Macaca fascicularis: one gene and its partner. The protein of the gene in region 1 interacts with the protein of each later gene in a biochemical or structural test. Links are inferred from orthologs where the notes say so. Each region holds a gene or a part of one and is shown in the gene's direction. Other genes may lie near its edges. The genes, in order: SORBS1 and FLOT1.

The links.
Region 2: the proteins of SORBS1 (region 1) and FLOT1 form a complex in vitro, tested with the Homo sapiens proteins (2 studies listed by BioGRID). The link is inferred for Macaca fascicularis from reciprocal best matches to the Homo sapiens genes SORBS1 and FLOT1.

Annotation. Positions count from the first base shown.
Region 1 is NC_088383.1:104,255,757-104,259,564, reverse strand, and holds part of SORBS1 (sorbin and SH3 domain-containing protein 1), read left to right. Parts: intron 1-1,228; coding exon 1,229-1,423; intron 1,424-3,264; coding exon 3,265-3,808. UniProt on the Homo sapiens protein: Plays a role in tyrosine phosphorylation of CBL by linking CBL to the insulin receptor. Required for insulin-stimulated glucose transport. Involved in formation of actin stress fibers and focal adhesions.
Region 2 is NC_088378.1:141,915,050-141,919,296, forward strand, and holds the start of FLOT1 (flotillin-1), read left to right. Parts: upstream 1-1,229; 5' UTR 1,230-1,406; intron 1,407-1,728; 5' UTR 1,729-1,742; coding exon 1,743-1,785; intron 1,786-2,064; coding exon 2,065-2,140; intron 2,141-2,228; coding exon 2,229-2,319; intron 2,320-2,598; coding exon 2,599-2,742; intron 2,743-3,127; coding exon 3,128-3,247; intron 3,248-3,334; coding exon 3,335-3,430; intron 3,431-3,615; coding exon 3,616-3,768; intron 3,769-4,247. Other genes in the region: IER3 (radiation-inducible immediate-early gene IEX-1), read left to right, coding at 1-20. UniProt on the Homo sapiens protein: May act as a scaffolding protein within caveolar membranes, functionally participating in formation of caveolae or caveolae-like vesicles.

The DNA of each region.
Region 1 (3,808 bases):
GGGACTGGGTTTTACAATATATTGGTGTGATCTAGTGGAAGAAACAGGTGCATTGATACCAGGAGAAGTTTGAAAAGCTTTGAACCCAAAAGGCACAAACCAGCTGTGCAGAATGTGGGAGTTAAATACTTTTTCCAAGCCACCATTTTCTTATAGAAAATAATGAAGATAGATGGCTCTCCCCTAGGTGGTTGTAAGAGACTTAGGTGAAACAGCTTATGTGAAGCCCCCAGCATGACACATGGTATCTGGTTTGTGCTTAGTAAACAGGAGATGCCAGTATCATTATCATCACCGTCATGCTTATTCAGACGCAATTACACTGTGCAGAGAAGTTCTTCTTTCCAGAATCCAAACACTCTACCTGGCAAAATTCTCTGGCTTCCTAAAGTTACTAAGTTACTGATTTTATTGAGGATTGAGGGAAGTGAGCACATGGGTTAGAAAAAGATGAACCATCTTATGTAACACTGGAAGCAACCCAATTTGCCCTACAGCAGGGGATCAGTAATTAAATCATTATATGTGTGTGCAACAGAATACCCTGCAGTGGTCCATTAAGCTGTGCAATGCCATTAAAAATCTAGAATTCTATTTTTTGATAAAGAAGGAGGTTTACTATGTACTATTAAGTATTTTTTAAAAAGCAAGTTGGAAAAGTATGGAAATACAGTTTATACTCAATTTTTATAAGAAAAAATATGTGAGGTTTAATTCACATGCGTAGAAGTAAATCTGGGAAGTCCATATGCCAAATATTAATAGTGTTTATCCCCAAATGACTATGTGATGGATGAAGATTGTTTTCTGCTTTATGTTTGTGTTCTGATTTTTCTATAATGATACATTATAAGTATTTATAATTCTACAAAAGAAAGAAAAAGAGAAACCCCCCAAAATCTTTGCCTTAGAGATGAAGATTGGATATCTGTTTCACATTAAATGAGTCAAAAACACTATATTTGTTCCCTGGCTTAGGGGCACAAATCTGATGTTCTCCTTTACTAAAATACTTAAAGAACCAAGGTAAACTTCCCAGCATCAAGGTAGCTCCTCTGCCATTAGCATCCTCATCCCAGTGGTGGTAATTCCCTCGGGTTCAGCAGGGAATGTTTTTGCTGAGCTAAGAATGTGGTAAACAATGCAGGACATTGAAGCATGCAGGCAGAGGCCCCAGGCATGCAGAGGCATGCTAGGACAAGGACCCTGTCTTTGCTGTGTCTTCCAGGGTGAGAGGATAACACTGCTCCGGCAGGTAGATGAGAACTGGTACGAAGGGAGGATCCCAGGGACATCCCGACAAGGCATCTTCCCCATCACCTACGTGGATGTGATCAAGCGGCCACTGGTGAAAAACCCTGTGGATTACATGGACCTGCCTTTCTCTGCCTCCCCAAGTCGCAGTGCCACTGCAAGCCCTCAGGTATCTAAGCTTCTCGTCACTGGTTTTCATACTCAGCGTGTGAGTTTTCTTAGTCAACAGTGCTGTTGGCACACAGCCTCTCTGGGGAGGTTTTTGAGCACTGCAATTAAAAACTGTCTGCAGGAGGCCGGGTGTGGTAGCTCACACCTGTAATCCCAGCACTTTGGGAGGCTGAGGTGGGTGAATCACCTGAGGTCAGGAGTTCGAGATCAGCCTGGCCAACATGGTGAAACCCTGTCTCTACTAAAAATTCAAAAATCAAAAAAAGATGGCGGGCGCCCGTAGTCCCAGCTACTCGGGAGGCTGAGGCAGGAGAATTGCTTGAACCCGGGAGGCGGAGGTTGCAGTGAGCTGAGATCACGCCACTGCACTCTAGCCTGGGCGACAGAGTGAGACTCTGTCTCAAAAAAAAAAAAAAAAAAAAAAAACTGCAGGAAAGCAGACTGTACACTGGACTTTGTCTTCATGCATACAAATGGCCTTTTCCAGTGCTTGGTTGAAGATATATTATCTCAGAGGAAAAGAAAGAGTCAGATAATTGCTCTGGGAATAAAGTGACTAGGGAAAGAGAAACAAGAGCCTCTATCAGTTGGTCCCTCCTGGGTGAAGCTGTTGGTGTGGGGACCACCACTGTGTCATAAATCCCATGGTCCAAATGTGGTCCTCAGTCATCTTGGCCAAAGTTGGCCTGCAGAAGACAAAGGCTGAAAGAGAGACTTACACCTTCTTCTTGTCAGCCACGTAGACCAGGTCCAAAGTGTTTGCATTCACCGGAACCAGGTTGACTGGAACAAGTAACTTATAGCATCTCAGTCTCAGTGGGCTGAAAGGATGTAGGTTTATAGGCATGGTAAGATGTTGGCTCTCCCAAACATTAATTATGAATAAACTTGTTTAGAAATATAAACTATTCCAAACTGATCCCCACTTTCCCAAAGCCAAGAAAATGTCAGAACCTTGAGTTCAGGGTGATATGGTGGGGGTGACATCCTGTGAAAAAGTCCAGCCAAACCACCATGTATGTTGTAAGGAGGTTGGCAGAGGAACAAGAGTAGGACCTGGGGGCCCAGGTTGACCCTGAGACGATGCCTCTTGTCTAGTCCTCTAATTGTTTCCTCCTCTGACACCTGCTCATCACTGACCCCAGTAGAGGGTTCTTGGCAGAAAGCATTAAACAGGCTTACCCAGGGCTTCCTGCACAGTGACAGCCGCATCCTGTTGTCTTATAGGACAGGGTGTGTGACTGGGGCGGGACATTCTGCTTTGTAAGGATGCAGAGAACTCAGCTACGTTTTTCACTTGACTGTAGCCAAGAATGATTGTAAAACAAAACTAGTACACTACTCATACTCCTCTCTGGAAGACTCTGCTGAGCTCCCAGAGAAAATAAAACCTCAGGGAAGGGCCATGGCAGTGCGGGGCCACCTTTCCCCATGGTTCCGGGTCAGGGATCTGGATGCACAGGGGCTGGGGGGCTGGGATAGGGAGCTTCCAGTGGGTCCCTTTGAAACTCCAATTCTGCAAAGCAGGCCGGCCTCATCCGTCACTACTCTGACGGGAACCTCTCTCCATCTCCACACCTGTGGCTGCTTCCTCCACCCACTGCCTGCACACATCAGGCTCATGTTCGCACATGCTCACATGCACACTCACCCATCCTGGTTTCTCCCCAGATGTAACCCAAGGATTTCCTTTTTGGACACCAGAGTGTCCTTGCGCATCCTCTCCATTTCATTCCTCTTTATATACCCCTTGTGATTATTTTCCTTCTTTTTCCTTTATGCTGACACTTGTACCTTTTGCTTCTTTCTTTTGTTTTCCTCTCTCTTCTTCTTTTTAAGTTTTCCAGTCACAGCAAGCTCATCACGCCAGCACCCTCATCTCTGCCCCACTCCCGCCGAGCCCTGTCCCCCGAGATGCACGCCGTCACCTCTGAGTGGATCTCGCTGACTGTGGGGGTCCCAGGCAGGCGTTCTCTGGCCCTGACCCCACCCTTGCCTCCTCTGCCAGAGGCTTCTGTCTATAACACTGACCACCTCGCCTTGTCACCAAGGGCCGGTCCCTCCCTGTCTCTCAGCCTCCCCCATTTGAGTTGGTCAGATCGTCCCACCCCACGGTCAGTAGCTTCTCCACTGGCCCTACCTTCCCCACACAAAACCTACGCCCTAGCACCCGCTTCCCAGGCCTCCCTTCACATGAATGGAGACGGTGGTGTCCACACGCCATCTTCAGGCATCCACCAAGATAGCTTCTCGCAGCTGCCACTGGGGAGCTCTGATAGTGTCATCTCCCAGCTTAGTGATGCCTTTAGCAGCCAGAGCAAGAGGCAGCCATGGCGCGAAGAGAGTGGACAATATGAGAGGAAAGCAGAGAGGGAGGCAGGCC
Region 2 (4,247 bases), on another chromosome or scaffold:
AACACCCAGCCGCCTTCTGACTTTGACTCCCCGCACTCCCCAAAAAGAATCCGAAAAACCACAAAGAAACACCAGGCGTACCTGGTGCGCGAGAGCGTATCCCAAACTGGGACTTCCGAGGCAACTTGAACTCAGAACACTACAGCGGAGACGACACCCAGTGCTTGAGGCGGGACTGAGGCGCACATAGACCGAGGCACAGCCAAGCTGGGGCTAAGCCCGGTGGGAATTAGAGCGTCGTTAATTTATTTCTTATTGCTCCTAATTAATATTTATATGTATTTATGTACGTCCTCCTAGGTGATGAAGGGGTGTACGTAATATTTATTTTAACTTATGCAAGGGTGTGAGATGTTCCCCCTGCTGTAAATGCAGGTCTCTTGGTATTTATTGAGCTTTGTGGGACTGGTGGAGGCAGGACACCTGGAACTGCGGCAGAGTAGGAGAAGAAGTGGGGAGGACCCGGGTGGGGGAGGACGTTCCGGCTGGGATGAAGCCTGGTGGTGGGTCGTAAGTTTAGGAGGTGACACTGCATCCTCCAGCATCTCAGCTCCGTCTGTCTACTGTGTGAGACTTCGGCGGACCATTGGGAATGAGATCCGTGAGATCCTTTGATCTTCTTGAAGTCGCCTTTAGGGAGAGGCTGCGGGGTAGAGGGTTGGGGGTTGGTGGGCTGTCACGGGGCGACTGTCGAGATTGCCCAGTATGTTCTGTGAACACAAATAAACTTGATTTACTGTCTGCAGTCTTGAGTGTATCTTTGCAAGCGCCGACTCCCCACTCCTCCCCGCCTTCAGATGGCAAGGAACGGCGGGAGGCGCCGTGGCCCAGTCCCCAGCCCGCGCACTTCCCTGGGCCCGGGAGCTCCTTTTCCTGGAGTCAACAGAACCCAGCATCCGGTTGCCCGATGCAGTCTTTCATTGCCCAGTCTGCGGTTTTCCCAGGTAGTTGCCCCGCGGCGAATCCGAGATGTGGCAATCACCCTTACGCCAGGGTGCCGGGCCGCGGAGGTCAAGTCCCGCGCCCGGGGGCGGAGCGTGGAGCTGTGTCGCCCGGCTCAAGAAGGGCGGTGATTGGGGCGGCAGGGATGTGGCCGCCCCTGGGCTAACCAGGCAGCCCGGCTGGGCCCGGGAGCCAACGGGTGGGCGGGCTGCGGACTCGAGCGGGGCCTGCCGGGAAAGGGGCGGGCCAAGCTCACAGGGCCGAGGCGGGGCGAGGTGGGGGTGCTTAGTTTGCTGCGGGGGGCGGGGTCGCGGCTGCAGCAGCAACAGGGTGCGGCCGGGTGGGGAACGCGGGAGCGGACCCAGGAAGGCTGGTCCGCTACCGGCCCCTGCTCGGCTTGCAGGTCCCTGCGCGCCCCCGCCCTTCCCTAGACCCCAGCCGGGCCGCCGCCGGTGTCCAGGAAGGTGAGTGGGGGAGGGGAGATGGAGCCTGGGGCTGCCGAGAAGCAGGGAGGGAGGGGAAAGATCTTCAGGCCTCTGGGCGCAGGGGACCTTTATCAAAGGGAGCGGCGAGGGGAAGGGAGGGACCGTACGCAGGCGGGGAAGAGGTCGCTGGGGATCTTCAGGATTTTGCAGGGAAAAGCTTTAGCGGACCCATGGGTGCGGAAGGGACAGGCTGTGGCGGATGCAGACTGAGAGGGCCTGACGGGAAAAGGAAAGGATGGGCCCTGTGGACGCCACAGCGCCCCTTCCCCATCCGCAATGGCTTTCCCTCCCTCTCCTCCAGCTCCAGCCTGAACCATGTTTTTCACCTGTGGCCCAAATGAGGCCATGGTGGTCTCCGGTAAGTACTGTTGTACCCTTCCCAGCCAGTGACCCCAGAACCCCTGTGAGTCTGGCCTCTGCCCCTTCTCCCTCTCCCTACCAGCTTCCCAGCCCCAGACTTCTGCCCCTTGATGACCACGAACTGCCCAGTTTGATTCCCACCATTCCAAGGCCCAGATTGCTTCCCCTCCAGCTCCCAGATTCTCTCCTGTGGGTTGCTGTCCCCTAGCCCCCGCCAGTTCCTCAGTCTTCCACATTCAAGCTCTGCCACAGTTCCTCACTGCTCCTCACTTTGCAGGGTTCTGCCGAAGCCCCCCAGTCATGGTGGCTGGAGGACGAGTCTTTGTCCTGCCCTGCATCCAGCAGATCCAGAGGTAGGCAAGAAGGGAACCAGGGAAGGGGAACCTCCCATTTTCTCTTTTTCCTCCTTTTCTTACTGTCTGTCCCTTCTTTTTCCCCTAGGATCTCTCTCAACACACTGACCCTCAATGTCAAGAGTGAAAAGGTTTACACTCGCCATGGGGTCCCCATCTCAGTCACTGGCATTGCCCAGGTGAGGCTTTCAGAGCCTTTTCCCCAAAGTCTACTTCCCCATCACCCTCTCACCCGGACATTAAGACATCTTCTGGCCACAGCCTTCTCGATCCTTGCCTGCAGAGAAGTTCCTCTGCTAGTCTCATCTTTTCCAGGCACCCTCAAGGCACTTGCCGCCTCCTCCTTTCTTTCCCTGAAATGGAAGAAGCATTTCTTTGAGGGCTCTCCCTTCTCTCTGCTTCTTCTCTGACTTCATGAGGCCCCCACCACACCTTTCCTACCCCTACTCTGGCTACAGGTAAAAATCCAGGGGCAGAACAAGGAGATGCTGGCGGCCGCCTGTCAGATGTTCCTGGGGAAGACGGAGGCTGAGATTGCCCACATTGCCCTGGAGACGTTAGAGGGCCACCAGAGGGCCATAATGGCCCACATGACTGTGGAGGTTGGCCTGGGGGCAGGGAACCATCTGGAATGATGCCAAAATGAGGGGGACCCAAGGACCACACTAGTCTGTGAGAGACAGTGGATCTAAGAGCTTACATCCCGGCCGGGCAGGGTGCTTCATGCCTGTAATCCCAGCACTTTGGGACACCAAGGCGGGTGGATCACTTGAGGTCAGGAGTTCAAGACCAGCCTAGCCAACCTGGTGAAACCCCATCTCTACTAAAAATACAAAAATTAGCTGGGCATGGTGGTGGGTGCCTGTAATCCCAGCTACTTGGGAGGCTGAGGCAGGAGAATCGCTTGAACCCAGGAGGTAGAGGTTGCAGTGAGCCAAAAAAAAAAGAAATCTTACATCCCCTCTCCCCACCATCCTGTTATCACAGGAGATCTATAAGGACAGGCAGAAATTCTCAGAGCAGGTTTTCAAAGTGGCCTCCTCAGACCTGGTCAACATGGGCATCAGTGTGGTTAGCTACACTCTGAAGGACATTCACGATGACCAGGTAAAACTGGGCAATTGATCCTTCCCCACTTCCTTGCTCCCATCTCTTAAGCCGTCCAAGGGACTAATTTCTACATCTCTCCCACAGGACTATTTGCACTCTTTGGGAAAGGCTCGAACAGCTCAAGTCCAAAAAGATGCACGGATTGGAGAAGCAGAGGCCAAGAGAGATGCTGGGATCCGGGTGAGAGAGATGGGGGTTGCTTAGTGGGAAAGGGGATAGAAGTGGCACAACTGAGAAGAAGCAGGGGTGCTGGGTTAGCAGGGAAAATACTTGAGGCAGACAGAGAACCTTGGTGGGAAGCAGGCTCTCACTGTGGCCTTTCTCCCACTGCCCTGACATTTCCTACCTGATCTCTGCTTGGACAGGAAGCCAAAGCCAAGCAGGAAAAGGTGTCCGCTCAGTACCTGAGTGAGATCGAGATGGCCAAGGCACAGAGAGATTACGAGCTGAAGAAGGCCGCCTATGACATCGAGGTCAACACCCGCCGAGCACAGGCTGACCTGGCCTATCAGCTTCAGGTCAGAGCCACTGCACTGGGCAGATGGCCAGGCTGCTCTCTGCCCCTTTCCCATTCCTCTCAGGCTGTCCGTCTCAGGAACCACCACTTCTCATATTCTAACTCTGATCTTATTCTGGCTCTCCATCAGTGGACCAGCTCCCCTATATGAGGAGAGATTTAAAAGACTCAGATGTTACAGCTGAAAAGCTTTAAAGAAAAGGCCAGCTGGGTGTGGTGACTCGTGCCTGTAATCCCAGCACTTTGGGAGGCCAAGGCAGGCTGATTGCTTGACCTCAGGAGTTCAAGGCCAGCCTAGGCAACATGGTGAAACCCTGTCTCTACAAAAAATACAAACATCAGTCAGGCATGGCGGCTTGGGCCTGTAGTCACAGCTACTTGGGGGATGAGGCAGGAGGATTGCTTGAGGCAGGAGGATCGCTTGAGCCAGGATGTGCAGGTTGCAGTGAGTCAAGATCACACCACTGCACTCCAGCCTGG